2 linked regions of the Oryctolagus cuniculus genome follow. The main gene of each other region encodes a partner of the protein of the gene in region 2 in a complex. Links are inferred from orthologs where the notes say so. Each region holds a gene or a part of one and is shown on either strand. Other genes may lie near its edges.

The links.
Region 1: the proteins of MPP1 (region 2) and GYPC are in contact, whole or in part, in an NMR structure (PDB 2EJY), measured with the Homo sapiens proteins. The link is inferred for Oryctolagus cuniculus from reciprocal best matches to the Homo sapiens genes MPP1 and GYPC. Residues at the interface, in NP_002427.1 of Homo sapiens: Pro81, Met82, Gly83, Ile84, Leu86, Lys87, Leu88, Leu100, Val130, Gln134; in NP_002092.1 of Homo sapiens: Arg123, Lys124, Glu125, Tyr126, Ile128.

Annotation. Positions count from the first base shown.
Region 1 is NC_091434.1:122,857,959-122,873,064, forward strand, and holds the start of GYPC (glycophorin-C), read right to left. Parts: upstream 7,041-15,106; 5' UTR 6,878-7,040; coding exon 6,838-6,877; intron 1-6,837. UniProt on the Homo sapiens protein: This protein is a minor sialoglycoprotein in human erythrocyte membranes. The blood group Gerbich antigens and receptors for Plasmodium falciparum merozoites are most likely located within the extracellular domain.
Region 2 is NC_091453.1:133,416,935-133,432,040, forward strand, and holds the start of MPP1 (55 kDa erythrocyte membrane protein), read right to left. Parts: upstream 8,107-15,106; coding exon 8,005-8,106; intron 1-8,004. UniProt on the Homo sapiens protein: Essential regulator of neutrophil polarity. Regulates neutrophil polarization by regulating AKT1 phosphorylation through a mechanism that is independent of PIK3CG activity.

The sequences.
Region 1 (15,106 bases), on a different chromosome or scaffold from region 2:
GCCCAGAGTATGGGCTGGAAATGAGTCCTCCCCAGGGAGAGGGGATAAAGCCTTAAGGAGTAGCCCAGAGAGTCCGGGGTGTGAGCTGTTCAAAGGCAAGCGTAGACGAATAGAATGACAGGTGCAAGAAGACAGAGAAAGGGAGAGTGAGTCAGGGTCAGGGTGTGGACAGGGACCTGCACAGCACACAAGGTGTGTGAGGAGCAGTGCACAGAGACAGCAAGGGGATGAGAGTGTAGCAGACACTGGGGCTGTGGGCATGCTGTGTAGACAGCCCTGTCTATCCTGGCTGAATTTTCACACCATCCACCATTCATCCACCCATCTATCCATCTTCCCCCATCCATCCCATCCATCCATCTATCCATCCACTCACTCACCCATTATTCATGGATGTTTTTAAAGACCCCACTTTTAGAACAAGGCAGCCACAACTCCTGCAGTTAAGCATCAGATGAGGCAGGGGACCCTGAGCCCCTCCATAGTGTAACATGTGAAGAGACTGAGGTTCAGAGGGTTAGAAGTTTGCTCCAAGTTGCACAGCTGGTGTGGGAGCAGGCTGCCGGCCTGCATACCCAGCCCACAGCTTTGATGCACACATGAAAGAGCAGTGTGGGAGGAGGTGATCACCGGCCAGCTCACCAGAGCCATGGGGGAGGAAGCACCTGTGCTGGGCAGAGGGCCTTGCCCTGGGCACATTGGCTCCTGTCCTTGGGTGTGATTTTAGTGCTAGAGGGGCAAGCAGAGGCAAGGCTGAGATGAGGAAGAAGCTGAGCAGTGTGCCTGAACCAGGCAGTGATGAAGCTTAGTGAGGGATGTGTACTGAGCCCTGTGCCAGGTATGTCATCCAGGGAAGGCACCTAGTATCAGAGCAAACCCTAGGCAGCAACTATTGGTAGCCCCATTTACAGGCATCAGGCTGGTCATCAACTTTGGGGGTCTCCATGTGAGATGAAAACTCTTGAGGCTCTTGTTCAAAAATGAAGGATCTGAAGACGGGGCAGCACAGCAGGAAACCAAAGCAGTGACGGGTCTGCTGGGCACTGGTCTCACACCCGCGAAGCCAGCCCTGTCCTGGACCATGAACTGTGACACAGCGAGGCCAGGGAAATCACCTAAGGTCACAACCAGCGAATGGTAGGTCTGGATTCTAAACCAAACCTCTAGACTCCAAATATCACTTGGAGCTGGTATGACGAAGGTTTGCAACAAGCAAATTGATGCAAAGTTTGAACTAAAAGGATTTTCAAAAAATCCAGGAGGGGAACCTGACCTTGGCCTCTAGCTTGGCTCAGGGATGTGTGTAGGTTTCGTTGAGAGCATTGGGCAGCAGCGTCCTGAGTGGAAGACGATTCCCAGCCAGTGGACTCTGCTGCCTGGTGAATCCAGGAGTTGTCACTGGTGGGGCCCAGTGCACAAGGCACACAGGCAGGATTGTCCCATTGGTTTGAACTCAGCAAACCACAAGTATCTCCCCCTTAACACTACTAAGGATACGTGCATGCGACGGCTACTGATAAAATGAGAAGATTCTCAATTCTCTATTCCTTGAGGAGGAGTGGCCATGCTGGAACCTGGAGTCAGCTGAAGCCCCTACTCCAGCCACTCATAAACATGCACTCTGCACGCAGCAGCAGGAGGTATGAGGGCTCTAGGGGGCAGCTCTCTATACGAGATGTGTCCATCCATGCCATCCCGTGCAGAGCAGAGATAAGGAGCTGTGTTAGGGTGTGCCAGGGGTGCAGGAAGATAACTGGGGCAGCCTTGCCCAGGGCTCATCCTACACAAGGGCCCTGAAAAGGAAGTTTCCCTCCCTCAGTGTTCTGGAAAGGGGCCAGTGGTTTGCCTGCTGAGCTCCAAACTGTAGGTGACCATGACAGTCTGGCAATAAGAGGAGCGGTGTGTGGCTTTAACATGGAAGGAGTTTGTGGGATGATCAGACACAAGTGATAGTATCACAAACAGCTGTCAGGAGTTATGAATGGGGGGTTGGCACTGTAGTGGCAAGGTAGATGTCCTGGCTTGCAGCATTGGCATCCCACATCAGAGTGCCGGGTGGAGCCCCGGATTCTCTGTTTCCGATCCAGCTCCCTGCTAATGCCCCTGGGAAAGCAACAGAAGATGGCCCAAGGACTTGAATTTCTGCCACCCATGTGGGAGACCTGGGTGGAGCTTGTGGCTCCTGCCTCCAGCCTGGCCCTAACCTGACTATTGCGGGCATTTGGGGAATGAACCAGTGGATGGAAGACCTCACTGTTTTTCCCTCTCTCTGCTGCTCTTTCAAATAAATAAAAGGATGTGCCTTTAAACAGAGTTATGAATGGGAGGATGAGGATCTGAAGATGTCTGGGTGGGAGATAAGGCAGGGGCCTTGGAGCCAGGCTGATGAGCAAGCACACTCCTCTAGGGCCCAGGGTTTCACTGTGAAGCCACAGCAAGTGGCAGTAACCACCAGGCTGCCTGGCAGCCCGGCAGGCATGTGGAGGGGTCCTGGAAGGCCCTCTCCTACCTCTACCCTGCCCTGGATGGCATCCGGTGTCAGTGGGCTGGGCTCGACCCCTCTCGGGGGCGGGGGGTGGAGAATGAACTCCTATCACTCTCTGCTAAGGTCTTGTGCTCAAAGATTGTTCTAGAAGAATGTACAGAAATTAAAATTTATAATAGGCAAGGGTAGGAGCCAGCCTTCTCTCAGAAGGTCAGACTATACAATGATCTGAAGGAAAGCCCAGGCTGAGAAGAGAGGGAGGTGGTGGTGGGAGGGTGGGGGCAGGGACTAGAGACCGGGAGCCGGCATGAAATAGGACTCAGTGAAGGCCTGGGAGTAAATTCCGGGGCCTATCAGCTCTGGCTTGATTTTCTGCCCATTTCAGCTTATTATTTCCTGGCTTCCAAGTAGATGCCAAGTTCCAGCCTAGGAGCTGCTCACTGTGAGTTCTCAAACGGACTGTGGCCCAAAGGGGCGGGCTTTTGGTGCTGGAACCACAGCAGCCCTGCTATCGAGGTCACCTGTGCAATCATCCCCCATTCATGTCATTGTGGCTGGCTCAGCACCTCTCCATGCAGGGTGCCTGGGAGCAACTAGGTGGGGGTTACAGAATTCTGGGACCCGGGACCCATCACGGCTGCCCAGTGCCCCTGGGCCACGGAGGGTGGTTCTTCTGGGTTTGGGGGAATCTTCTGTGGTGTGGGATTATGTAAAGGAGGCCTTGACAGACAAGCAGGTGTGTGTGTTAGGTGGCGGGGGGAGGGGTAGTTACCCCAAAAGCCTGACCCGGACAGCTGTGAGAGGTGAAGCCAGACAGTCAAGCAGGCTTGGGGGAGGGGTGCAGGAGGAGCCCAGCCTGCTGGCCAAGGCAGGGTGAAGGGAGGCAGCCCAGAGTAGGGCAGTCCTGATCATACAAAAGAGAGCCCCAGTGGGCTGTGGTGGGAGTGGGTTGGACCACAAGCATAGCTGGGGATCTGTGGCATGGCTGGCAGGTTCCCAGTGCCCGTGCCTATGCAGTCCAGCAGTGCATCCTGCTACTGTGTGCTTCTCCCGTGCTCCTCTCTGCCTGGCCCGCCCAGCAGCTCCCCCTGCCCTTCCAAGGCTCTCCTCTGCAGCCACCAACAGGTGCACAACAGTCCCTCTCACTAGGATGGAGGAGGGGCCCAGGCCCGCCCCCAAGAAGGATGAACGTTGCTGCTGCTGCATAGCGAAAAACAAAACAACAGCAGGTGTGCATAGGTTCCCTCCTGAGCCTACCGCACCCACAGGCCACGCTTCCCTGATCAGTTCGCACTGGGCGTGTGGCCCACTAATGTGGCTGAGGCACAGTAGCTCAACTTATTGCCACTGACAGATGGGGAGACAGAGGCTCTGAGGCATCTGCGTCTCCCCCAAAGCTGGCAGATGCCGCAGAGGGAATCAAACCCAGGCCTGGCTCCAAAGCCGTCACTAACTGGCCATGGGACCTTGGGCCATGCCCCCTGCTGCAGAGGAGGGGCTGATGGGAATCGCACAAAAGCGTTCATTCAAATGTTCCGCCTAATTCAGACTCTGCAGACATGAGAATAACTAGTCAGTACAGCTATGTTGACAAGGTATAGTCTTTAAGATGTATTCTAGGGACCGCTATTGAGGTGTGGTGAGTTACACCTTCCATATCACTGCGCCAGTTGGAATCCAAGGTGCTCCACTTCCCATCCAGCTCCCTGCTGATGCACCTGGAAAGTAGCAGAGGATGGCCAGAGAACTTAGAGCTCTGCCTCCCAGGAAGGCCTGGATGGAGCCTGGCTTTGGCCTGGCCATTGCAGCCATTTGGGGAAGTAAGCCAGTAGATGGAAGATTTTCTCTCTTTCTCTCTCTCTCTCTCTCTCTTTCAAATCAATCAGTCCTGGGACCAACACTGTGATGTACCAGGTAAAGCTGCTATCTGCAACACTGGCATCCCATCTGGGTGCCAGTTCAAGTCCAAGATGCTCCTCTTTTGATCCAGCTCCCAGTTAAAGCACCTGAGAGAGCAGCGGAATGCCCAAGTGCTTGGATCTCCCCAGAAGAAGCTCCAGGCTCCTGCCTTTGGGTCAGCCTAGCTCTGGCCATTGCAGCCATTTGGGGAGTGAATTAGCAGATGGATGGTCTCTCTAACCCTGTCTTTCAAATAAATAAATAAATCTTTTAAAAAAATCCTTTTACTTATATAAAAAGATGTTTATTTTGGTGCAAGATAATTGAAATCCATGCAATGTTTTTCATGTGCATTTTCCATGAAGTTTCTGAGTATCTGCCACTCAGAGGCAAGCTGGCTTGGCTTCCTCAATCTCCCTGGGCTGCTGAGGGGCCCTTCCTACCCACTGTAGAAGTGTTTATGCCTTCCAGCTGCAAACACAGATCGTCTCCGACCCCACACCCTCTGCTTCCCAGGATGCTTTGCAAGTCCCCGGAAACACTTGCCCCACCTTAGATTCCCTTGGAAAGCTCCAGCTGCTGACTGTGCCAGCTCCATGTGACTCCCACCGCCACCGGTATCTGGGAGAGATTGAGCAACCGCTGAGATGGAATTTCATTTGGCACTGAATGCAACCCCCTCTCGCAGCTTCTGCCAGAGGCAGCAGATTCTATATAAAGCTGCCCAACCTGGCCATCTCCTCGTGGACACTTGACCCCTTGCATCCAAGGGTACAGCCATGGAGGGCCATTCATGACTCACTGGCAGTCACCGTGGTGCTCAGACCTGGGAGCAGGGAGTGCTGGCTGGCCAGGGCGGCCCCAGCCCCCAGAAGCGGGTCCTCTCCATGCTAACGTCTGGTTCAGAGCAGAAGCTGTGTAAACACACTGAGACAGGATGTAGACACATCCTGCCACAGCTAACACAAGGAGGGCCACCCCCACCCCCACCGCTGTTCTCCCGCTCCTGCCGTAAATCACATCGGAAGGGGGATCTGGGATGATGTGCAAGCAAGGGCTGCATCCTCGCCACTGCCGAAGGGAGGTGCCTGCGGTCCTGGGCCAAGGTCTGCTTGGGGCGTGGGCCAGGCTTTCCAGACACCGGAAAGACGAAGCCTGCACTTCCTCAGTGCCTTCTGTCTCTTGACCTGGCCCTGCCACACAGGCACACAGATCCCTGAGCTGGAGTCAGACACACATGTAAACACACATGAACTCAGGGACCCGCAGTCCCCTGGGGAATGAACACAGAGGCGCCTGCTGTGTATTGAACACCCTGCATGTCTGTCTCTGAGCCACATTTCATTCTCACAGCCCGACTAGACTTCCATTTTTGCAGATGTTGAAACGAGCACAGAGACTGTCTTCAGGCCCCTGTTTAGTAACTGTCACAGATGCTTTGAGGACGGACGCCGAGCCCTGAGCCCTTGCCCTGTGCACACTTGGCTGACTCAGGGAAGTGCACGAACTGTTGCACTGTTGCATGCATACGCAGGGGCACTGCACTCACCTGCCGTCCCAAGTCAGCCTTGCTCACCAGTGCTCAAGCTTGGCCAGGGCCGGTCCTCTCTGCCACTACAACTTCAAAACTTCCCAAAGCGTCTGCTGCTCCCACCCTCATTTCATTATCCTATTAATTATTTAAGGTCAACATACTATAGGACTTGCAGCATCTCCTCTCCAACAGACCCTAAAGAATGGCCCCAGCCAGGGTGGGAGATGAAAGGGAGAAACATCCATCTGAAAAAAGTAAAATAATATTTTCTTTTGGACCTTTTAAAGCCCAACAGCAGAGAAGGAGGAGGAGGAGGAGAGGGAGGGTGGGGACAGTCCTGCCATGTTTCTGACCATCTACCAAGAATCTCAAAGCGTACGATTTCCTGCCCGCAAGAAAGCAAGTGCTGGCTCTACAAAGAAAGAAATCAGGTAGCTAGGGAGGTACAAGCCCATCAAGGGCCGAAGCCAGCGGGGGGTCCTGCACCTCTTGGGACACCCTAGGCGCCCTGGAGGGCCATCCCCGCGGGCTTGGAGCAGACCCAGGGCCCTGCCCTACACCCGCCAGCAGAGAAGGCAACTTCTCCGTAGCCTCTGTAGGCTGCGTGGCCGAACGCTGCCGGAGACGAGCTCTGGCCAGAAGTTTCCCGCACCAAGAAAGAGAAAGCGAGCCGCGGTCGCGCCCGCGCGCGCGCGCGCGCGGGATTGAACGGGAGGCGGGTGTCCGGCGGCCTCCCCAGGCTTCGCAGCGCGCAGACCTCGCGCGTCGGGTCCGGACGCCGGGCGGGCTCCATGCTGGCTTGGGGGCTGCACTCAGGCTCCTGGTTCAACCCGCCCAGCGCCAGGCAAAGCGTCAGGGTCTCTTCGGCGCGGCCCGCTGTGGGCCCCCGAAGAGGCCCCTGCCCAGAGCGGGTACTCACCGTTGGGCGGGAGCTGCGAGGTGTCGTTGCCGCTGCTCATCGCCGACGGGTCGCGGGCGCCGGCCCCGGGCGCAGCGGCGGGCGGCGAGGGTCGCGCGCGCGCGCGGGCTCCGGACCCTCGGCGGCCAGGAGGGCGCGGAGCTGGGTCACGGTCCCCGGGCGCGGGCCGAGGGGAGGGGCTCCAGGCCGGAGATAGGCACACTTCATTTGTTTTTTCTGCAGACTTGGCTTGGTGGGGTTTCCACCCTTTTTTTTTTTTTAAACACACACACCCGCCCACTTCTGAACTCCGCGGTGCTCCAACTCTCCGGCGGCTTTTCTCGCTGTTTCGGTTTCCATCTGCGACTGCCAGATACAGAGCCTGTGGTTGAGAAGTACCCCCCAACCGTGTGCTCCTAAAAACTTCCCCGCGGATGGCCCGGCTAGGGGGCCTGCCCGGCACGGCTATGAAATGAGGGACAGACCAGCTCTGGTCCCGCTTGGTAGGGAAATCTTATTATAGGGAAAAAAGAAGTAGGACTGTCAGACAAAGTCAGACACACTGGAGTTTGTGGAGAATTCACTCTGCTTGGTTAAAACCTGGACCTGACTTCTGAGCCTGTAGTTACTCAGATTGGAGAACCCCATCCCCGCCTCGCCTTTCCACAGGAGCAGGAGGCGCTTGAGACCAGGCCACCTGGTTTGAAATCCCAGCCGGGGGCGGGGGACTTTTCATGTCTGATGTCTGACCTTTTTGTGCTTTTCTTTGTTTAAAAAACAATATTTGGGGTCAGCGCTGTGCTACAGTAGGTTAATCCCCTGCCCGCCCCCCGCCCGCACGCCATCATCCCATATGGGCGCTGGTTCTGGTCACTGCTGCTCTGCTTCCAATCCAGTTCTCTGCTGTGGCCTGAGAAAGCAGGAGAAGATGGTCCAAATGCTTGGGCTCCTGCACCCACATGGGAGACCCACAAGATTCCTGGCTTCGGATCAGCACAACTCTAGACGTTGCGGCCAATCTGGGAATGAACCAGTGGATGGAAGACCTTTATCTCCCTCTTTCCCTCTCACTATACGTAACTCTACCTCTCAAATACATAAATAAAATCTTTAAAAATTTTTTAAAAAATAAAAAAACAATATTTACTTGTATATTTGAAATGCAGAAAGACAGGGAGAACTCCTGCCTGCTGATTCACTCCCCGGATGCCTGCAGTGGCTCCTGGTGGAAGCCAGGAGCCAGGAACTCTGTCCAGGTCGCCTCCACTCTGTGTGTGTGTGTGTGTGTGTGTGTATGTATGTATGTGGCAGGAACCCAGTCACTTGGCTCATCCCCTGCTGCCTCTCAGTTTCCTCATTGGAAGAAAGCTAGAGTTAGGAACAGAGCTGAATGTGCAACCCACGCACACCGATGCTGGGTGCCAGGCCAAATGCCAGGCCCCTGGGCTGCTTCTCATTGCTGTTTCCTTGACAGTTGCCCAAAACAGGACTATGGTCGCCCCCACCCCCAAATATTATGTCGCGTCTGTTTTCCTGCATAAAATGGAAAAGCTCTTTAGTTCATCTTAATGATTTGGTTGTTGCATTTTGCAAATAGTGCTCTGATAACTGTATGTGTGTGAATACCAGCGTTTCCTATTTTCCCCTTCGTTTGTACTTCCACAAGTGGAATGACCAGATTCAAGCTTGGGAGTGCGTTTAAGGCTGGAACCCTCAGGAGGCGTGGCTGCAGCAATCTGTGTACTCCCCGGTCAAGAGTGCCGGTGCTCATTTCAGAGCCTCTGGCCAGAATGAAGCAGGATGTTTAAATCATTGTGAATCCTGTCGTGGAGAAGCATGTGCTTGCATTTTCCTGATTACCAGTGATGTTGTCTGCACTGTCACATTTTAATTGGTAAACCTTCACTATTGAATTTTTATTCATGTATTTGTTCTATCGATTACAAAAGCAGAGAGTGCCATTGAGACAGACAGGAAGAGAGAGATCTCCCTTCTACTGGTTTGCTCCCCAAATGCCTACAACAGCGGGGATGGGCCAGGCCTCAGACAGGAGCAAGAACTCCATCTGGATCTCTCACAGTGCTGTCAGAGGCCCAACTACTTGTGTCATCATCACCTTCTGCCTTCCAGGGTGCACATTAGCAGGAAGCTGTATCAGAAATAGTCATGGACTTGAACCTGAGCCCTATGATCCTGGGTGGAGGTACCTGAGGCACTGTGCTAAGTGCACACCCCCAAACCTCATGGTCTTTAGGTGGACTATTTATTCCTGCTGTTTTCTCAACTTGGGGAGTTGGCTGACATTTTTCCTACTGATCTATTTGAACTCCCTATAACAACAACACTTTTTTACGTGTATTCCGTGTCTTGTCTCTTTTTACCCTGTTCTATTAGCACAGAAACATAGTTTTACTGAAATGATTGGCAAGCTGGTTGATGCTTAAGAAGCCCCAAATGTGGTGAAGCCTATTTTAAGAGGAATGGAAAGAAAATAACCAGGGTTCCTGTTATATATTAATGTTAGCCGTCGCAAAACACACCGAACACCAGAGTAAGGGAAAGGGTTTATTGGAGAACACCCTACAGACTGGAGTGAAGGGGCGGCGAAGGAAAAAGAGAAAGATATAAGAGAAACAGAGAGGAGAGGAGCTAGCAAGGAGAGAAGAGAGCAGAGAGGAGCTGAGAGAGAGAGAGCCAAGAGACCAGAGGAGGAGGCTAGAGAGAGGAACCGAAAGAGAAGGACCAAGAGCCAAGAGAGCACGTGTTCAGGAACAGGCCCTTTTAAAACTTCGCCAGGGGGCAGGCAGGGAAGCAGGAGCAGTGAATTCCATTAGGATGGGGGTGGAGCCTGGCTCAGGTAGCTGGGCCATGCAGCCACCTGGCTAAAACTGCGCCAGTTTCCTAACAGTTCCACTGTTCATGCTGTCCCAAGCTCCTCATCATGACAGAGTAGGGAACAGGGGGTACAAGAGGCAATCTGATTGGCACAGAGAGGTCAGTGGCCTCCAGTCCCACAGCCCTCCCCAGGAAAATCTCCCTTTCCCCAGAAGAACATTCTTTCCAAGAACCCTTTGCAGAGGGGTGTAAAAGCTCAGAGGAGACCTTCGCTGGGACTGAGCTGCCAGGTTCTGTTTTTTTCTCCTGGAGGCTGCTAAAGGCTGGCTCTTATAGTGCAAGCTAGAGGGGAGAGTGGGGCTGTGGGACTCATAGCCACAGCTGCAGTCTTGCCCTGAACTTACAGCAGTGCGTCAGCTATGGGTACCTGGTTAGGCATCCAGAATGGCCATACATCCTCATGGTTCTCTAAGAGAAGTGCAACAATACAGAAACCCGGTGGAACCAGGTGGTCTGGGGGGTGTGAAGTGACACAAAGGTGGGTTCTCATCTGTGGGTTCACTGACAAAAGACAAGCTGTGGGGCTGGTGTTGTGGTATAGTGGTTTAAGCGACCTACTGCAGTGCCAGCATCCTGTACTGGGCACTGGTTCTAGTCCCGGCTGCTCCACTTCCAATCTAGTTCCCTGCTAATGTACCTGGGAAAGCAGCAGAAGATGACCCAAGTCCTTGGGCTTCTGCCACCCATATGTGAGATCAATATAGACTTATGGGCTCCTGGCTTTGGTCTGGCCCAGCCCCAACTGTTGTAGCCACTTGGGGAGTGGACCATCAAATGGAGGATCTCTCTCTCTCCCCCCTCCTCCTCCTCTGTAACTGCCTTTCAAATAAATAATTACATCATTAAATAAATATCCAACATTATTGTGCAACAGGTTAAGCCACCACTTGGCACACCAGCATTATGAATTGGAGTGCCCATCTGAGTCCCAGGTATTCTGTTTCTGACCCAGCTTCCTGCTAATGCACCTGGGAAGGCAGCAGAAGCTGGCCCTAGTACTCAGATGGTTGCCATCCACAAGGGAGACCAGGATGGACTTCCAGGCTCCTACCTTCTGCCTGGCCCAGCTCTGGCTGTTATAGCCACTTGCAGAGTGAACCAGGGCATGGAAGATGTCTCTGTCTGTCTTGCCCAGTCTCTGTCATTCTGCCTTTCAAACAGGTAGCTAGATAAATATTAATAAACAAAGAAAACCAATCTGTTTAGAGCAGGGCTGAGAAAATTTGGGAAGCTTCAGACTGGGGGAAAAGGAGGAAAGTGCCCCGAGATGGATCAGGGGGAGTGCAAATCTCTAGCAGAAGAGTTGAGAAAAGGAAAAGAGGGCAAAGAGGTCAGCTTGGTGGCTCAGATGCTCTCCAGGTTGTGTAACTTTCCATAAGAAGTGCATCACAGCAGGCGTGGGATTATACACACGGGGCAATTTCCTGGGCACCCAGCATGTGCCAGGCCTGGTGCTGTGCTCTCCCACACGTGGTCATTATTAACTGTCCTTGTGGGTGGTGCTTGCTTTGAGTTTGCTTTTCCTTTTCCCTCTTCTTCAAAGAAAGAGAACCTGAGGACCATAGAGATGTTGTAGCTGCTCACGCCCCGCAGTGACTGAGCAGGTGCCCTGCAGGCCTATCCATGGAGAGGTCCGTGCCTGGGGTGGGGGATGGGGCCACCAGTTCCTTGTTCGTGGTGGCCCCACCCTGCCTGGCACACCCCAGGGTCCCAGGTGGACTTCTGGTGCCACTACACAGACATCTGTGACTGTGCATGCTGGATGCCCCTGGAGACAGGCGGGAAAGAGGCAGGAATGTGCTGAACAAGCTCCCAGAGCTCCCATCAGAAATGAGGATGTGGTGAGGAAGCGCCTTGCTAACTTTCAGGAAGCCGAATTTGGCGCACAGCCCCCTTCCTTTGGGCCTAAGCCGTTGGTGTGAAACAGAACTGAATGTCTGCATCTCCACCTGCTCCCCGTGAACTCCTGAGCCCACCAAAGAGAGGAGGGAGCTCCTCTTACACCATGTGGGGGGCTTTGCTCTCTCTTTAGCTAAGAGGAGGGAGAAGTTTGGGATACTTAGTCTTGGACTAAGAAAAGGAGAACAGGAATTGTAATTCTTCACAAACTTTTCTTAAGAGCTTTGCATGTTTTATCTCCTTTAATTTCTAGAACTAGCTCACAAGCAAGGACAGAGTGGGACCTGGCAGGCAGCCAGTGTGGCCTCTCTGCCTCTCATTCCTGGTTGACTGCTTGCCAATTCGCTCAGTGACTTCACTTCCAAACAAGAGAATGATACTCAAGTCTACTGTGCTCTGAAAGGTGGGTGTACATCTCCTGGAAGTTCTGTGCATTTGGTAACCATGATACAGACAGAAGATGCATAATACAGTAGAGAAAATGATAAATTCATGTTGGGGTGGGTGTCGTGGTGCAGCAGGTTAAGTTGCCACTTGAAATGCCTATGTCCTATATTGGTGAGCTGGGTCAAGTCTCAGCAGCTCTGCTTCCAACCCAGCTTCTTGCTAACACATCCTGGAAGGTGGCAGAGGATGGCTCAAGTACTTGGGCCCCTGCCACCCATGTGGGAGACCTGGGTGAAGTTCCAGACTCCTGGTTTCAGCCTGGCTCAGCCCTGGCTGTTGTGGCCATCTGGGGAATGAACCAGCAGATGGAAACTTTCTCTCTCTCAAGTTCTATCATTGTCATTCTTTCAAGTAGAAGAAAATAAATACATAAAAAATTTTAAAAAAATGACTAAAAGTCATGCAAACGAACTAGGCATGTAAGGACATAAGTGTGTCATGATCACAGCAGCTGTAACTGTCACAGATGGGAATGGTCACAGGAAGCCACGGGGACATGGTCACTGATCGCTTCTCCAGTACTCTCATGTATAAGTTCCTTCCTGTGTTTGGCTCAAGACGGTAGACTTAGCTTGTTTTGCACACTCTCCCTTTGCAGAGCTGCTTACTGTTGGGTAAAGGAATTGTGCAAAGTGAAGAGGGTGTTGGGTGAAGTTCCAAGATTCCAAGGGTGGGTGGGGCATGGGGCATGCAGAGGGCAGCAGCCGTGACCTGGAGACAGGGGACCTCTGGAGTGAGTGGAAGAGCATGTGGCTAAGCACAAGGAGACTGACTGGAGACCTGTCCAGGATGGGGCAGATCCTTCTCATTCCCCCTGCTTTGGGTACAAAATGTCAGGGAAAGTAAGATTGTCAAGGGAAAGTAGGATTGTCTCAGGATGAGAGTGGGGATACTCCCAAGAAAATGAAGCATCTGCATAAGAGAACCATGATTTCCATCATGGAAAGTAACACCCTGTTCTTCATGCCAGGGTGCCCCCTGCCCTCCCCCATAGCACACGCAGCCCTGTCCAGAGAGCCAGAAATCACAGCCAGATCTCAGCAGAGAACCTGACAGGACACAAGTAGATTCACATCACAGGGGAGGAAAAAGCCTTGACAACCCCTCAGAATAATCCACCTGGCCTTTTCATTTTTAAACTTTGATGGACAGCTATACATGACAGCCAAGTCATAGAGGGAAACCGGGATGTGGAAGGAAAAGGTCAAGCTAAACGAAAGGAAAAACTAACCTCAGGGAAAGAAACTGAGATGTGAGGAAGAGACTATAAAGAAAAGGAAGGGACAAAGAGGAGCTGTGATGTGCTCGGAGATTTGAGAAAATAATAATATAACTGTTGGAGGAAGATGTCATGAAAAAGGAAACACAAGGAATAAGAATCTTCAGGGGCTGGCACTGTGGCACAGCGGGTAAAGCCGCTGCCTGCAGTGCTGGCATCCCGTATGGGCGCCAGTTCAAGTCCCATCTGCTCCGCTTCTGATCCAGCTCTCTGCTATGGCCTGGGAAAGCAGTAGAAGATGACCCAAGTGCTTGGGCCCCTGCACCCACATGGGAGACCTGGAGGAGGCTCCTGGCTCCAGTCATTGCAGCCATTTGGGGAGTGAACCAGTGGATGGAAGACCTCTCTTTCTCTCTCTGCCTCTGCCTCTCTGTAACTTCGCCTTTCAAATAAATAAATAGATCTGTAAAAAAAATTTTTGGACATTGAGAATAAAATGGCTAAAATGAAAGACATAGGTCTTCAAATTGAAAAGGCTAAATTAAAAAAAATGCATGTGTCCATATATTATGCAATCACAGAGCAGTAATGAAAAGAAGTTTTTTGCAGACTTTCATAGACAAATGGGAGGAGGTGAGGGGCAGAAAGTGCACCTTCTGCAGAAGAATGAAGTGAGACTGGCATAGGACTCACATCAGTAATCCTGAAGACAACAGAACAGGGCTTTCGAAGTTCAAGGGGTGAAGATGGCTTTGAAGCTTAAATCTTACACCTGCCTTAAAGATCAATTGACCACGAGAGAAGAATGAAGACACGTTTTGGAGATCGAAGGCTGAAAAAGTCCCTTTATCACACAGAAAAAAGCTACTGGGGAATGAGATCCATCACGGCAAAGGAGAATGCAGAGGAAGAGCCCCCAGAGCCAGGGCTGCAGGGCATACACCCCGCAAGGACAGTGCAGGGAGGTCCCAGGGCTTCCGCTGAGTCCGAAAGAGTGGTGAACAACAGTGGGATATCAAAAAGACGAGACAGGATGATTGAGTGGCTGCTTACTCCTAAAAATGGGATGGGAACTCACACATTGCTTTTCCGCAAGGAAACACATGTTGGCTACAATCCTAGAGGCAAACAAACAAAGAGCTATACAAATAAGCCATGGTCCAAATCGGAAGCTCACTGAGAGAGCTTCACTTCAGGCCCTGGTTGGAGAATGAGAAAGGATCATCTGTCGTGACTTAAGCCCCGGGGCCTATTCTTTGTTGAGCAACTCAAAAACCAAGGAATTGGAGTGCATGAACAGGAGACATCACTTGTCATGACACCTGCTCCATAGCTTTGCTGGCAGTCAGCAATAATTGGGGTTCTGGTTTATTCTATGGGGAAACCAACAAATGCAGAAGACAATTGGCATCAGTGAATAGTGGGTGAGTCCTGACAGTGTTGACCTGTGAAAGTCCAGGGACGGAGGTGGCAGGAGGAAGGCTGAGGATGCTATTGGGCTCACTTTACACAGAGTTATTGAGGTGCAGGTGGCCTGAGGCGACACTAGAGGGTTTGCTCTGCCCTGCTGTTTACAGGGACAGGGCTCAAATAGAATAATCTGAAGAAAGAGGAGGAAAGGAGGTAGGATGGACTCCAAAGGGCTGAACCTTCACTGCTCCCACACTGGCACGATACACATGCAAGAGGTCAGTGTGCAAGGAGCTTGAGGGGACTCATGTCAGAGGCGTGGGCCAGAGTAAGGGTCGCACATCCTGGGAGGAGCACCCCCTTGGGTTTCCAGGGGCAGGCGGACTGGTGTTATCAGAGGTGGCCAGGAGCTGATGTGAG
Region 2 (15,106 bases):
TGAGGAGGAGGGAGGGAAAGAGGGAGAGGAAGAGGGAGAGACAGAGGGAGATGGAGTTGGGGTGGTGGTGGGGAGAGTGGGAGAGATTGATTCCATCCACTCACTGGTTCACTCCTCAAATGCTTGCCCACTACAACCAGAGCTAGGGCAGGGACTGAAGTCAGGAGCCAGGAATTCCATCCTAGTCTCCCACATGGGTGACAGGGACCCAAGTACTTGAGCCATCACTTGCTGCCTCCCAGGGTGCCCATTAGCAGGCAGGTAGAATCAGGAGCTAGGGCTGGTATCTACCCAGGTATTCCATGGGATGTAGATGTCTTAAGGTAAGCCAAATGCTCATCACTGGACCTTGATATTTTTGAAGAGGACAGACCTATTTTTTGGTGGATGTATCTCAAATTTGGGTTTGATGTTTTCTCATGAGTAGACTGAGGTTACACATTTTGGGCTGGACTCCCACAGAAGCAGTAGTATGCCCTTCTAAGAGCAACATTATTTTTAAAAGCCCAAACCTGGAAACATCACAAAAGTCCATGAATGGTAGGCTGGGTAAACTGGCAAAGCCATCCAAAGAATACGGCACACCAGTGGAAATGCAATCTCACAGATAATCACTCTCCTCTCCTGAAATGTGCCTTCTCAGCCTCCTGTGCTAGTTCTTCATCTTATTGATTTATTAGCACTAAAGCAGCTTGGAGTAAGAGCTCTGACAGTGGAGAAGGCCAAGTGGAAATCTGAAAAATTTCCCCATCTATCTCAGAGAAAATACTCAATCAAAAACAATCTGGCCAGTGGGAGGAGGAGGAACAGTCTGGGCTTGCTTTATGGAAAGGTCTGGTTTCTGGGTACAAGCTGAAAATGAATGGCAGTGGTACTCTAGCCATATCCAGGAATGATCCTCCAAATAACATTTTGATTTTAATATACTGCATTTTTTCTAAGGAGTCAATGGAAACTCTGATATGATGGTGAGGTTTGAAGTAGTGTGAGTTATTGGGTAACATCATATAAGGGAAGTACTGAGAAAGAGAAACTGCTTTGTCTAGCAACTAGAAGTTTAAAAGTCACATGATAACCAGTCAGATGGCATTACTGTCACAGATAGCATTGTACGTGGAAAACTGACGTGGTACAACTGGGAGCAATGAGAGGAAAGGTAACAGCATAAAACTGATATGTTTATAAATGCATAATCTATTAGGTTGATTCTGGGGAACGGAACTGGGTACCTACAGAGTGGGTTGAGAAGGAAATTGTTTCCACTATATATCCGCTCGTAACTTGAAAATTATGTACTATGTGCTTGCATTACTTTAATCACAAATTTTAGTAACACAAAAAGCACAGGGTGCAAATACAGTGCAAACGTTTTAAAAGAAACATATACACTGTCTGAGCTTGTGTCCTGGCTCTTTTATTAACTGCTGAACAATGCTGCAAATAAAAGTCTGTTTTTCTTAAAAGTTCTCCAACCACAGTGCTTTCTCTACTGTTAAAATAGAATTTTCCTAAGTGATTGAGATTCTGGTTCAAGCCTAAGTTCTTGAGCAGATCTCCCTGTGCCATCCCCTCCACCACTGTGCCCAGCTCCTTTCCCCGACAAACTTGGTTTAAATGACAGTAAAGAAGGGAAGGAAACAGAAACCCATAAAAAAGAAAACATTGTTAAAAGTCATTAGGTATAAAAGCTATCAATAGCTTGATTAGGTGCCCAGAGGAGGAATCTGTTGCGGGAACAACTGTGCCACACTGCAGCACAGCACAGGGTCAGGGCTCAGAATCCCTGAAAGCAATGAGGGTTGGGTTTCAAACATACATGAAACAGCTGCCACTCTGGCCATCAGCTCCACTTTCAAGTCAGGAAGGAGGAAGAAGGGCCAGGCCAGCTGCATTCATCCCAGTACTTCCCCGGGGGACAGCTATTCTTGTCTCATTGGCCAGAGTTGTGGAACTTAGCCATCCCAAGCTAAAAAAAAAAAAAAAATGGGCTGGAAAGAAAAGAATTTAGTTGGGCATCTTGCCATCCCAAATGAGATCTGATTTTTATTTTCTAGAATCCATATGACACATCATGAAACAATTATAGTTAAGGGACAGACTGTACATGACAGTACCATGACAATATGAAGGTACATACAATATTATACAATTTAAGAAGTAAAAAGAGGAGAGAAGAAATGAAGCGAAAGGGCCACTAATCACATTCACTTACAAGCTGATGGTCCACAAATTAATTTTATTTTGACCATGTGTTTTTGTTTTATTTAGTAAAACTCAAGAGACTCCAACTTTTTAAAAATCTCAAATCAGGCACCTGCTCTCCAGGTGGTCCTGGCAGAAATGTTCCCTGCTGTCACTGCTGTGCCACCTGGTCACTGAGCACATGAGTGTTATTTTTCTTACACTTGACTATTTTCACTCACCTGAACCACACAGGTTACATTAAAACTACCTCTAGACAACTTAACCTTTGACAAATCATATACATATGAAAATCATGAATAGCTGAAAAAGAAGAAAGTGGAAGAATCAATGCAACTGAACAGGTAACCCAGAAGCACATCCATAAACAGATACTGACCTAAACCTTAAACCTTCTGAAATGGACTATGGACTTCAATGTAAAGTATAAAACTTTAAAGAAAAAAATAGAAGAAAATTATTGGGATCTAGGGCTACACAGAGTTATTAAAGCTTGCACCAAAAGCAGGACCCATAAAAGGAAAAATTAACAAATTAGACCTCGTCAAAATTAAAAACTTCTGGTCTATGAAAGCCCATGTGAAGATGATAAAAATGCAAGCCATAAACAGGGAGAAAGTATGTGCAAAGCACATACTCAACAAAAAACTATTAAACTATTATCTGGAATATATAAAGAATGCTCAGGGGCTGGCATTATAGTGTAGTGGGTAAGCTGCCACCTACGACATCAGCATTGTGGTCATTTGGGGAGTGGACCAGCAAATGGACGACCTCTCTCTCTCTCTCTGCCTTTGAAATAAATAAATTTTTTTAAAAAAAGAATGCTCAATATTACACAGTGAAAACAATCTAATTTGAAAATGAACAAAAGATGTGAAAAAAAATTTCACCAAAGGGGATACATGAGGATAGCACACAAGGATATGAAAAAATGTTCAACATCATTAACCATCATGGACAAACGCAAATTAAAACCATGGCGATCTATCACTACACGCCTGTGTTTCTGGCCTTGGTACACCCTTGCATAATGTTCTAGAGAACATAAGAGCAGAAAGTCTTAGTACACAGAATACAATATGACCTTTGAAAGGAGGGGAAAATCTACACGCAACATCATCAGGTGTTCATTGTGTACCTAAAAGAGGAAGATAAACTGGCACCCTTGCCTCATATTTTTCTTACTCAGCTTGATTACAATGATTACTTTTAACATGTCAGCCTTTAAATTAAGGACTCAGCAAAGTTTACTAGAGGTAGAGCACATTCTAGTCAGAAAAGTTCAAGAGTTGCTATCCCAAAGGTTGGTCTTGCAAATGTGCTTATCCAGCCAGACACCCTGCTTTGCAATGACTAAGAGTCACTACCACACTCACCAGAAGTTGCAAATGATGACTAAGAAAAACGGAAACCTCCAGTGTGCTAACTAAAGAACAAACTCCCAAGTCAAGGCTTCTGAAAGCAAAGCAGGATTTTCTCTACCATGAACTTGTCCATGAGCCACCCTGTCTTCCTGAGACTCTTCAAAAGGGAGGGCCAGCTTCCCTGCAACCCCATCTTATAGGAACTCCTTCCATCGGCCTCCACATCTCCTCACTGCAGGTATCACAGGAGCTAGGCTATGCAAAGTGACATGAATAATGTTGAACAAATAATGAAGGTCAAGGGTAGATTCCATTTCACAAAGCCTACTTCACAACCTCCACAATGTCTCCATGAAACTGCAGCGCCATCTCCAGTAGACACAAGAGGTCCCAGGGCTATGGAAATCCTGCCCTCCACCCCCGCAACCAAAGTAAAGGCAGGGTGGAAGTGGCTGTGTTTTAAGATGACATCTTAAATTCAGGAGGAACAGTGGTAAACACTTGTCTGCAACTCCATGTCTGGCCTTTGCTCTGCAGCCTCTGCCCTTGAAAGCAATGCCTGCTGCTCTGAAACCCCCTTCGGAGGAAACATCTGCAGCAGGGTTCAAAGGACAGAGGCAGTTACTCAAAGGAAGTTGGAATTTAAAAACAAACTTGGCAGGGGGTGGACAGTGGTGGGGCTGAACACTACAGGGGCAATTACAGTTGGCTTTAGGAGCAAGGGAGAGAATCAGGAAAAAGAGACTGTTTTAGTCCATGGTTGGCCTCTTTGCCCATGACAGCCACAAGACCTAGAAAGCCAAGTACAAGAAGGAGACAGCAGACCCTGGGGGCTGCCAGCCTGCCACAGCTGGAAAACCCACTCTCTGCCTGGGCAATATCCTGGTCTACATTGGGAAAACACACACACACACACACACACACACACACAAGAAACTGTGAGAAAGCCAAGAATGCCTCAAGGTTTTTGAAAGAGATTAGCACTGTTTAACCACATGATAAGAACTGGGGAGAGAGCAAGGCCTAAGAACCCATCCAAAGGTCAAGCTTCCAACAACTTATCTGCCCAATGCACTCGGCTTCTCCTTCCACTGTAGAAAAACAGGAAAGCCAAGTTCCATAGAGAAGACACACAGGACTGCAAATCCAGACACCTGGTGTTGAGTCCTCACACTGCCCGCCATTAAACCCTGCTGAAATTATTGGTAAATAATGCCACTCATTAAATTCACATCCTCATTTTGTGATCAATATTTGCAAGCACAAAGTGGTTCAGAGACTTGTCCAAGCTTACAGGACAATCAGTGTTAGGCTCCAGGAGTTAAACTATGGACTTCAGAGTTTATCATTGTTGCAAGGAAAGACTGCATAGGCAACCTTGTGTCAGGGCTACAAACTGCACGTTGGTTAGACAGAATTTTTTGAAGACAATGATGTGTACTATGGGAGAAAATAAAACAGAAAAGACCTCACAGGGAAAGCGACCTTTGAGTAAAAACTTATTAGGTGTTTTGCTCAAATATTTCTTTATATGAAGGAAAAAAGAAAAAGTGAAAAATCAGAAAATTCCATGTTACGAAAGCTATCTTCTGGTTCCCTAATTCAGGGTTTTATTTCCTCTTCTCCACATCTAGCATCACTGATACCCCACCCCCATCCCCAGCCAATTTTGAAATATGATTTTTTTTATTCTTGTCATTTTGTACTCCACACCCAGTGTCCTTCTTTTTAAGTAACACTGAAAGGTTAAAGCAAGTCATTGTTTCCAGGGAAAAAAATCTCTGCATCAATAAAATGTCAATTCTTTTCATCTTCCCTCCTTGGCAATCTCTGAAGACATTCTTGATCCCTACAACTAGGGTGGGGACAGACGCAAGATGGTACTTTTCACAATGAAGAATGATCAGACCCAAAATGATGACAGCACCAAGGTTGAGCAATGCTGATCCTGACTTGAAATTCTCCTTCAAAGGCTAGCAGATGACTTAGAAAAGAACAGAGCTCTATCCTACTTAGCCACAATCAAACCAGATTCTTATCTGCAAGGTATACTAGTCTTTCTAGTTTTAAAAGAAAAACGTTCCTGCTGGTGAAGGATAGGGAAGCACTGGACCGGCATCACTTACTGGGAAAGTTGGGGAGAAGCTGAAATAATTTAAAAATTGCACTTCATCTTCTAGTATCCCTTCTGTGAAAAGAAAAGCCTTACATGGAAAGTGTCTCTTGTCATGAAACAATCAAATGCAATTGTGCAGAAAATTCTTTTTCTGGAAAAATCATAATTAGGGGCAGATTATGAATATTCCAGCCTCTGGCAAGACATCACAGGATGTATGGTATTCAGCAAAACCGTTGGTGTCTGCCTGGACTGTTATTTGTCCATTATATCCTGGATACTGCCAAATGTAGGATCCAGCAGTCATACCTCAATTGCACCACCCCATGCTGCTGTCTTAATTTGTGCATCTGCATGTTTCCTTATTTACTTCATAGATCTGCAATCAATACTGCATCAGAATGTGGCATAGCGCAGCATCTGATGTCTTAAGAACCAATGCATAGAGAAGAGAAACCTAAGGCACAGAGTCTTCCAGCAGCTTGCCCAAGGCCACACAGCAAGTGAGATGCAGAGCCTAGTGTTGTGGCAAAGAGTGGTAAAGCTCCCAATGGGAAGATGAACCTCATTTGCAAATTCTCCCTCTGATGTGTACCTTGGCAGATCTATACACTATTTTATTTGAAAGGTTAGCAAGTTTTCTTATTCCACCTTCCAGCTTCTTTAAATCCTTAAATAATATTGAAACAAATTATCTAAGTGTATTTGATATTCTATGATAAACTCATAGCCCAAGGAAAACTGCTGTTTCCTCAGAGAGTGTATATACAGAACCACTCCAATAGTGAAAGGGCATCTTTTCAAAAAGGCACACATTCTTTCAAGCATAAGGAAGCAGACACAAAATACTACATAGTTTATGATTCTATTTATACACAATCCAAAACAAGGCAAGTGTGCAGTGTTAGATCAGTGGTTGCCAGGCTCCAGGTAAGGGGAGACTTATTGCAAAGGGCCACAAGGGAAATTTCTAGAATGATGCAAATGTTTGTTATATGTCATGATTGTGATAATAGTTATATGATTGTATATATGTGTCAAATCTCATCAAACTACACAAAAATAATTAGTGAATTCTATTATATAAGTATATTTCAATAAAAGTGTCCAAATAAATTCAGTAAACAGATTTTTTGAAAGTTCAGTCAAGTGAACATCGATTCTCATCTCTATAGCAATAGCATTTTCCATGGCTGCTCATTTCCACACTGAGGCCCACGGTGTTGTAATCATGATTTGAAATGACAGACAGAGGTGTCTTAGTGATCTTCAGTTTACTTTTCTGTGAAATTGGAAAGTTACTCTAATTCTCTAATGTCCACCTCTTTGTTTATTAATTAATTCAGCAAGTATTTCTAAGGGCCCACTTAAAGATATTTAAACACTTGAGTGTGAAATACCCCTGACCTGCAAGAGGACAGAGAAACTGTGTCTTTAAAAGCAAATGGCTAGTATCATGGTCTTGGCCAGTGAGCTTATATGTACTAACGAATGAATGCAGCATCTAGCGTCTTTGTGTGTGTATCTCTCTTGACACACTCTCCAGGCCACAGGGAGAAGATGCTGCTTGGTTCGAGAGGCAGCATCGATGTTCAGATGAGTGAGGGAGAGAAGGAGGGAGCAGTCCTGTGGCTGTGCCCCTGCCTAAGAGATCCCCAAATGCACAGCAGATAATACCAGGAAAATGCTCACAGTACTGAAGACTTGCTACAAAACAGCAGATAGCCACAACCTCCCCTCAGGGCATCTTTGAAGACAAAGGGTAATAGGTATTTACTGACCATCACTGGAATCCTGAGGGCAGGATAACCTTCCAAGTCCTTGGATTCCTTCTTCCACCCCTCAATCCACACAGGCTACCCTATTTGCAGCAGAGCACAAGGGGGCTGTCCTAACTGCAGAGGGACAGTGAGTGAGCGATTTCAAGCCAGAAGTTGACCCAAACACAGGCAGTTCAACAACCAGCAAGCAGACATTCTCATGAGTGTGCTCTTAAAGTGTTTCTGTTATTGTGACTTCCATCCATGAGGAAGTTTCCCTTGACCTTAACGAGCATTCTGTCCAGGCTGCGGCCTCCAGATTGCCATCTAGCAGGACTGTTCGGATCCACCGCACTCCGAGCCCAGCATGAACCCCGCCGCGCATTCGCTGGGCCCCCACCCCGCAAGCTGCCGCGGCCTCCATCCTGGGACCAACACCCTCAAGGACAGGCTCCCCAGGGATTGATTCTCCCGGGGACAGAGGAAGTCCTCAGGCTGATGGTCGGGCCCGGAGCTGAGTCCCGGCCCCGCACCCAGAGGACCCACCGGGCCCGCTCACCTCTGGCCGGCTGCGCTTCTGCAGCAAGTGCTCTAGGTAGAGGTCGGAGAGTGCCGTCCGCATGCTGCCCCCACCCTCGCCCTCGCTCGCTTTGAGCGTCATCTTCCAGGGGTCGGGACACAAGGCTGCTGGTCCAGGCAGCGCTGGGAGTGCGAGGGCCCAGGCCTGTGCGGCGGCGGAGTCTGCGGAGGCGGCGGGGACTTGGCGCTGCTGGGCCTGTCACCACCCCGCAGGCGGCGCGCCGGGCGGCCGGGGGCGGAGCTCCACCCACGCCCCGCCCACTGCCGCCCCTCGCCCCCGCCCCTGAGCCCGCCCACTCCTAGGTCCACCTGACGCGGCGAGCTCACCGCAGCGACCCTTTAGAAACCAAAAAAGGCCCTGCGCTAAGGGCCCAAGCAGGTGTGCGACTGAACCCGGAAGGATTAAAAACCTGGAGGTCGTCCCCAGCCTCTGGCTGGTTCACCGCGCAGCCCACGCCCTAACAGGCCTGAGCAGAATTCATGGGGGTAGCAGGGAGGCAGCTTCTACCTGATGACGCCTAGAGCCGTTTGTACACTCAGGAAAACACAGAAAATCAGAATTAGCCAGCTTTAGTGGAACTTAAAGAATGTAAGAGGTGGTGAACTCTAGTCTGTACCCATAAATGGATGCAGGCACAGCGCCCAGAAACACACCTGTGCATGCACAGAACTGTATGGTACATGATGTACTTAGCATGTTAGGTAAGTGAGGAAGGGCTTTAACTGAAGCTGGAAAATATTTATATTTGAAAAGATGACATTGGAACCCAACTTCATGTGATATACAAAAGAATAATATATTCCAGGTGCATTAAATACTTACACGTAAAAACACACATTTAAAGCTCTTAATGCTAACCATTCACAATAAAGTACAATAGTGATGTTTAACTTTATTAACATTAAGAACTTATTTACAAAGATTTATTTATTTCAAAGATAGAGTTACACAGAGATAAGGGGACACAGAGACACAGACAGAGAGAGAGAGAGATCTATCTTCCATCCACTGCTTCACTTTCCAAATGGCCACAACAGCCAGGAGTGGGCCAGGCAAAAGCCAGGATCCAGGAACTCTATCTGGGTCTCCTATGTGAATGGCAAGAGCACAAGCACTTGGGCTTTCTTCCATTGCTTTCCCAGGTATATTAGCAAGAAACTGGATCAGAAGTAGAACAGCCAGGACTTGAACCCACAGACTCATACAGGATGTTGGAGTTGCAGGATATGGCTTAACCCACTGTACCACAACACCAGCCCCAACATCAAGAACTTTTATTCATCAAAAAATACATAAAGTACAAAAAAGACCAGATGTGCATAAGGGGAATATATTTTCAAGAAACACAAGTGACAAAAAATTCCTATCTTGAAAATATAAAAGACTACAGATTAATAAGAAAAACAAACAATCTGGTAGAGAAATGAGGAAAAGACATGATATTTCATAGACAAACAGAATTCACAAATAGAGAAACACATATGGGCCAATAAACATATGAAGACATGTTCAACTTCTCAGTGTTAGTGGTCAAAGAAATGCAAATCAAGACTGCAATGAGATGCCACTGTACTCCCATTCAATTCTCAAAAAGTCTGACAATATGAAGTGTTGGAGAGAATGTGAAAGCATACAATTTCTTCAGTGTTGCTGGTGGGAGTCCAATGTTGTTGGCAGTAATGCTATTTAGGAAACCGATGTTCCAGTATCTCTTACAATTAGTCTGTAACTGACCAGATTTTCCTTTATACACCTCTGAAATATTTAGGATTAGAATTGCCTTGTTTGTCCAAATACAGGAACCTCAGTACACATGGCCTCATTCAATTTTATACCCCTCCATATTTTCTCAGCCTTCATCTAATTCCCAGACCCTCAGGCACATAAACGATCAAAATCCCTGACTGCCTCTGCAATTGCTACATCTCTTAATAAATCTGACTCCTTCGGCCTTTTCCAAAGTGAAGGTCAGTTTCTTTAACGACCTCTATTATGCTCACTACTCCCAGAGAATCTGCATTCAAGCTCAGTCTGACTGCATCCATGGAGGCTGTCATGACTCTTAGCCCTTCTGGAACCAGCAAAACAACTCAGGGGTGTGAGAAAGTTATGGCCCAGGAGGATGAACTTTGAGCAGTGAGAGAAATGAGACAAAAACCTGCTAGCAAGTGATGGGGAAAGGCTTATTAATGGGTACTGTTACAGCTAGAGAGGAGTAAGAATTTCTATGATTCTATTGCACAGTGGATGTGACTAATTTATTTTAAAAGCTAGAATATAGGATTTTGATTGTTTTCACCATAAAGAGACGTTAAGTGTTAGAGGAAATATATTTGTTTACCTAATTGGACATCACATAACGTATGTGTGTATCAAAGCATCATATAATACCCCATAGATATGTACCATCTTTGTGTGTGTGTTTTTTTTTTTAAATAGTAGCAGATCAATTCCCTACCTTGGGAATCCAATGTGCTATGGTTGTATACCACCTATCTGGAGGTATCCAGGGGGACTGAGAAACAAGCTGTATTTTCTTCAGTAGCAGTGACAAGCTTAGGAGCACGCAAATTTGTATTTTCTTTCCATCCTTCCCTGCCTCATTTTCCTTTCCCTATTACTCTTGCACTCATGGAATTGCATCCTACAGTAAGGTTTTCGCATACATGTCTCAAATCACACTCTATCTTCCAGTGAACCCAGGCTTAGAAAACAGTTGTCAGAAATGAGGTATTGGTCTTAGGAAATGGACACTTAGGATAGACTTTGGAGTTGGATTGACTTTATTGAATTAATGATCCTACTTCCTGTAATCAGGGAAAATGAAGCAGTTCCACCAGGAACACAATAAAGTTTCCACCAAACTGCAAGCTGTGGAACTTAGACCCATCAAAGATGAAGATGAGTCACCCCAGCAGGCAAGCCACCTAGTCCATTGAAGGGCTGACTGAGGAGGAGGGATGTGTAAAATGGGTGGAAGAAGATACCCATCCATTAGAATTCCCAGAGAAGCTGCAGCAGTTGAAACTGTAGCTAGGGTTACCAACTCTTTTTAAGTGTTTTTAGGACATAACTGCCTTTTGAAGGATTGGACTTGGAACACCTTCTGAAAAAGCTAGTGGTTTCTTCACCCTCTGCGTGAAGACATCTATATGATACCCCGTCATAGAATACTAGCATATAAACTTTGTCGCATGCTCTATTTTCCAAGGGATACAGGCCAAGACCCTATGATACCAAAACAGATTGATGTTAGGAAGCATGGAAAATTACTCATATAAACAAACATACGCATTTCCTTATTCACTGAAATAGCAGCCAACCTCTTTGTACTTAAGAACTTATCATGAATGGAATTATAGAACATAAGGCAAACTGGGGAAATTAGTGGTAGAAATTAGGTGTGGTAGAAAAAGAGTTATTATATTTCATATATTAAAAACTTTAAAATAAGGAAAACACTTAACAGGAGAGGGATAAAACAAGAAACAAAAATGGGGAATAGAAAGGAATGAAAATAAAATAAAGTTATGGAGAGATAGTCAACCACACTGGCAGCATAGAATACAATTTATGTGATACAAAAATGTCGATTTCTAGCACCATTGCAGACCAGATAGAAATTAATAATGATATTAGCAAGGTTGCTGGCTACCATCATATAGAAATCAACTGCATTTCTATATACCAGCAACAGACAGAACTTGTAATTTTAGAAGGTACAATTTTATCATAACATCTACAACTATCAAATACCTAGGAATAAACTGAACGATACATTTGTACTGTATGGAGAGAATTATAACGTTCTATTGGAATTGATTAAAGAAGAGCTAAGAAATGAAGAGATAAATGTTTGTAGTTTGGAAGACTCAATTTCTTTGGGCTATTACTTCTCCTGAAATTTTCCTATAAGAGTCAATGCAATGCCAGCAGGAATTTCAACATATATGTTTTGTGAAGCCTGAAAAAAAATATGGAGTTGTGAATAGCAAGAATATATAAAATGCTCTAGAAAATCAAGGAGTGGGGGGAAGCTGCTGTCCAGATAGCAAGACCTGTAATGAAGCAGTGGTTGCTGAGAGAGTAAGGTTTAGACACAGAAACAGAGCAATGACAGAGGTGGCACTGCAAGTCAGTAGGGAGAGGATAGACTTTCTCTATGTGATATGTGGGGTATACTGGTTATTCACATCATAACAGAGACTAGACTTGCCAGAGCAGAAGGCAAATACTTATCCAAACTACTGTAGTCCAAAGAACTGAAAAAAGAGCAAAATCTTGTTTTAGTTTTTATTGAGGCAAAGCTTACAGTGGAAAAGTACTGGAAAGGCTAGCCACCTGACTCAGAGGATGGATGCTCACAAGACTTGTCTTCTTTCAACATTCCCATGCTGCCCAATGGTCAGCCAGCTGCAGTCCCAGGTAGTCATTGTTCAGAATTTAGTTTTGCTCCTTGGAATTTATTGCTTCTTGGAATTTATTGCATCTATTTGTTTTTCTCAGTTTCTAGAACTGCCTTTAGGTACAGAAATTCTGTTCAAAGTTCGTGAATGGCAAATTATACATTTTTGCAATATGACAAAAATGAAATCAGACTCTGCCTCATACAAAAAAATCAGTTCCAAGTAGCTGAGGAACTTAAGTGTGAAAGACAAAACTATAAAATTTTGGAAGGCAATATAGGACTTTGGGCAAGGTATTTTTCATCTAAATATATTAAAATACAGAATATATAAACAATTCCTACTGATCAATAAGAAATAAGCAAAACTACTAATTAAAAATGGGTGAAATTCATTAACAAAAATTTCATAGAAAACAAATGATCTATAAACATGAAAAGGTCTTCAATCTCATGAGTTATTAGACAAACACAAATTTGGAAGAATTTGGAATTTGCAAAAAAGAAGTTTCTCATTCACCAGATTGACAAAAACTTGAAAGGCAGATGATATTTCATGTTATTAAAAATGTGGGATAACAGAACATTAATATACTGCTGTTAGACAAAGCAATTGGTGCAATGGCTTTGGGAAACTGGCATTGTAGCATGGAATGGATATCCTTTGACATAGCTAGTCAATCCTATGAGAAACTTGCATATGTGCTCCATGAAACACATTGCAAGAATATTTATGAATCTTTATTTAGAGTTAAAAACACTCAAAAATAATGCATATGTCCTACATGATATGACATTATACAGCAGGAGTGAAAATGGGCGAATTATAAGCATCCAAATGGATGAATTTCTAGATACAACATGAGTAAAAGAAGAAAATCATAGAAGATGGCTCACGTTTTATAAAGTTTTAAAAGAGGCAAGACTGGGGGCCCACATTGTGTCTGCCTATGATGCCACTATCCTTTACAGGAGCCAGTTTGTGTCCTAGCTGCTCCAGTTCTGATGCAGTTCACTGCTAATGGCCTGGGAAAAGCAGTAGAAGATTGCCCAAGTGTTTCAGTCCCTGAACCCACGTGGGTGACCTGGATGAAGCTCCTGGCTCCTGGCTTCAGCCTAGCCCAGCCCTGGCCATTGAGGCCATCTGGGGAGTGAGCCAGTGGATGGAAGACCTCTCTCTTTACAAACTTTTTTCTCTCTCTCTCTGTAAATCTGCATTTCAAAATAAATCTTTAAAAAAAAACAGGTAAGGCTATGGTGTTAGAAGGCAGGATAGGAATTACTTTGGGCTGGTGATGCAGGAGGAGGGGAGAGGAAGACAAATTTGTTCACTCCATGGTTATTCTTTGAGTTGTATTATTAAGATATGTACCCTCTTCTGTATGTATACTATATTTCAAAAGATTTTACAAACTCTAAGGCATCAAGGAAAGGGACATTTCAACAAACTAAAGAAAAACAGGCAACATTAAATAATGTACTGCCAATCATATGTAACTTTTTTTATTTTGGCTGGCAGACATGCAGGCTGAGCCTGTTTGAAATGAGTGTTGTTATTGCTTGCATGGTAGAAATAAGAGTAGGGAAGGCCAGTGGAGACTGGGTAGAATTGTCTGATAAGCAACACACATACAAAGGAAAAGAAGTCCCCTACCCAAGTAATGCCCTCCCCCATTGCCTTTCTGTGAAGTGGGTTGTACAAGGACTGGGTGGGGGGACCCAAACTAAATAAATTGAATTTTAAACACCCAGAAATGCTGTGAGTAGGGGATGTGGGGCTCACTTGGTGGGTCAGCACCTTTCCCCCAGGATGTGAAATGCTCAGGCCAGGGAGGAGCCTGAGCACTGAACATGCTCTTGTGCATACTTGAGGGGTGCCCTCACACACACACACACACACACACACACACACACACATATCTGCATCTAGTGGTTCAGGACGCTGCTATCACACAGTCCTAGGCACACACATATGATCACAGCACTCAGTTGGACTTGTGCTTACGATGATCATCTTAAGCCTGCAGAACATGGGGCCTTGGGGACCGGGAGAAAGGAGGTAGGTGGTGCAGGAGACCCCCAGTTCCACAGGGCCCAATACCGCCCTTACCCCCTGATGTCACAGCTTCCAGAAGCCCTGCTCTCCTTGGACATCATTGCTTTTCTGCCCCCACAGAAACTCGGGTAGGCCCGACGGTCATCCTCCTCAGGACTTGTATTAATTAAACCCTGAAGGGCTTCTCCTCTTCCCAACAGCCTGGGACTGGAAAGGAAGAGTGGCATCTCCCAAATGCTCATGTGAGCAGAGGTGAGGCCAGAGACAATACCACTTGTACAAATTGCTGAGGTGTTTGGGAGAGGATAAAAGAGAAACTGAAAACGGATGAGGCAGTGAGGGCTGGGAACACAAACCAAAAAGTCAAAAACATAAAGATTCCTTTTTAAAAAGCTGCCTGAGTAGAACTACAGGAAATGTGTTCGCGAATCCAGATCCAGCAACTCTAGGTGTCATACCAGTCGAGAGGTATGATTATTATGGAGTGGGCAGTGAACTCATGATTAGAGTGTCGACCTCAGATGTGACCTGAGGTTTAAAGAGCAGCATTTGTAGCATGGAATGGATATCCTTTGACATATGCAAGTTTCTCATAGGATTGACTAGCTATGTCAAAGGAT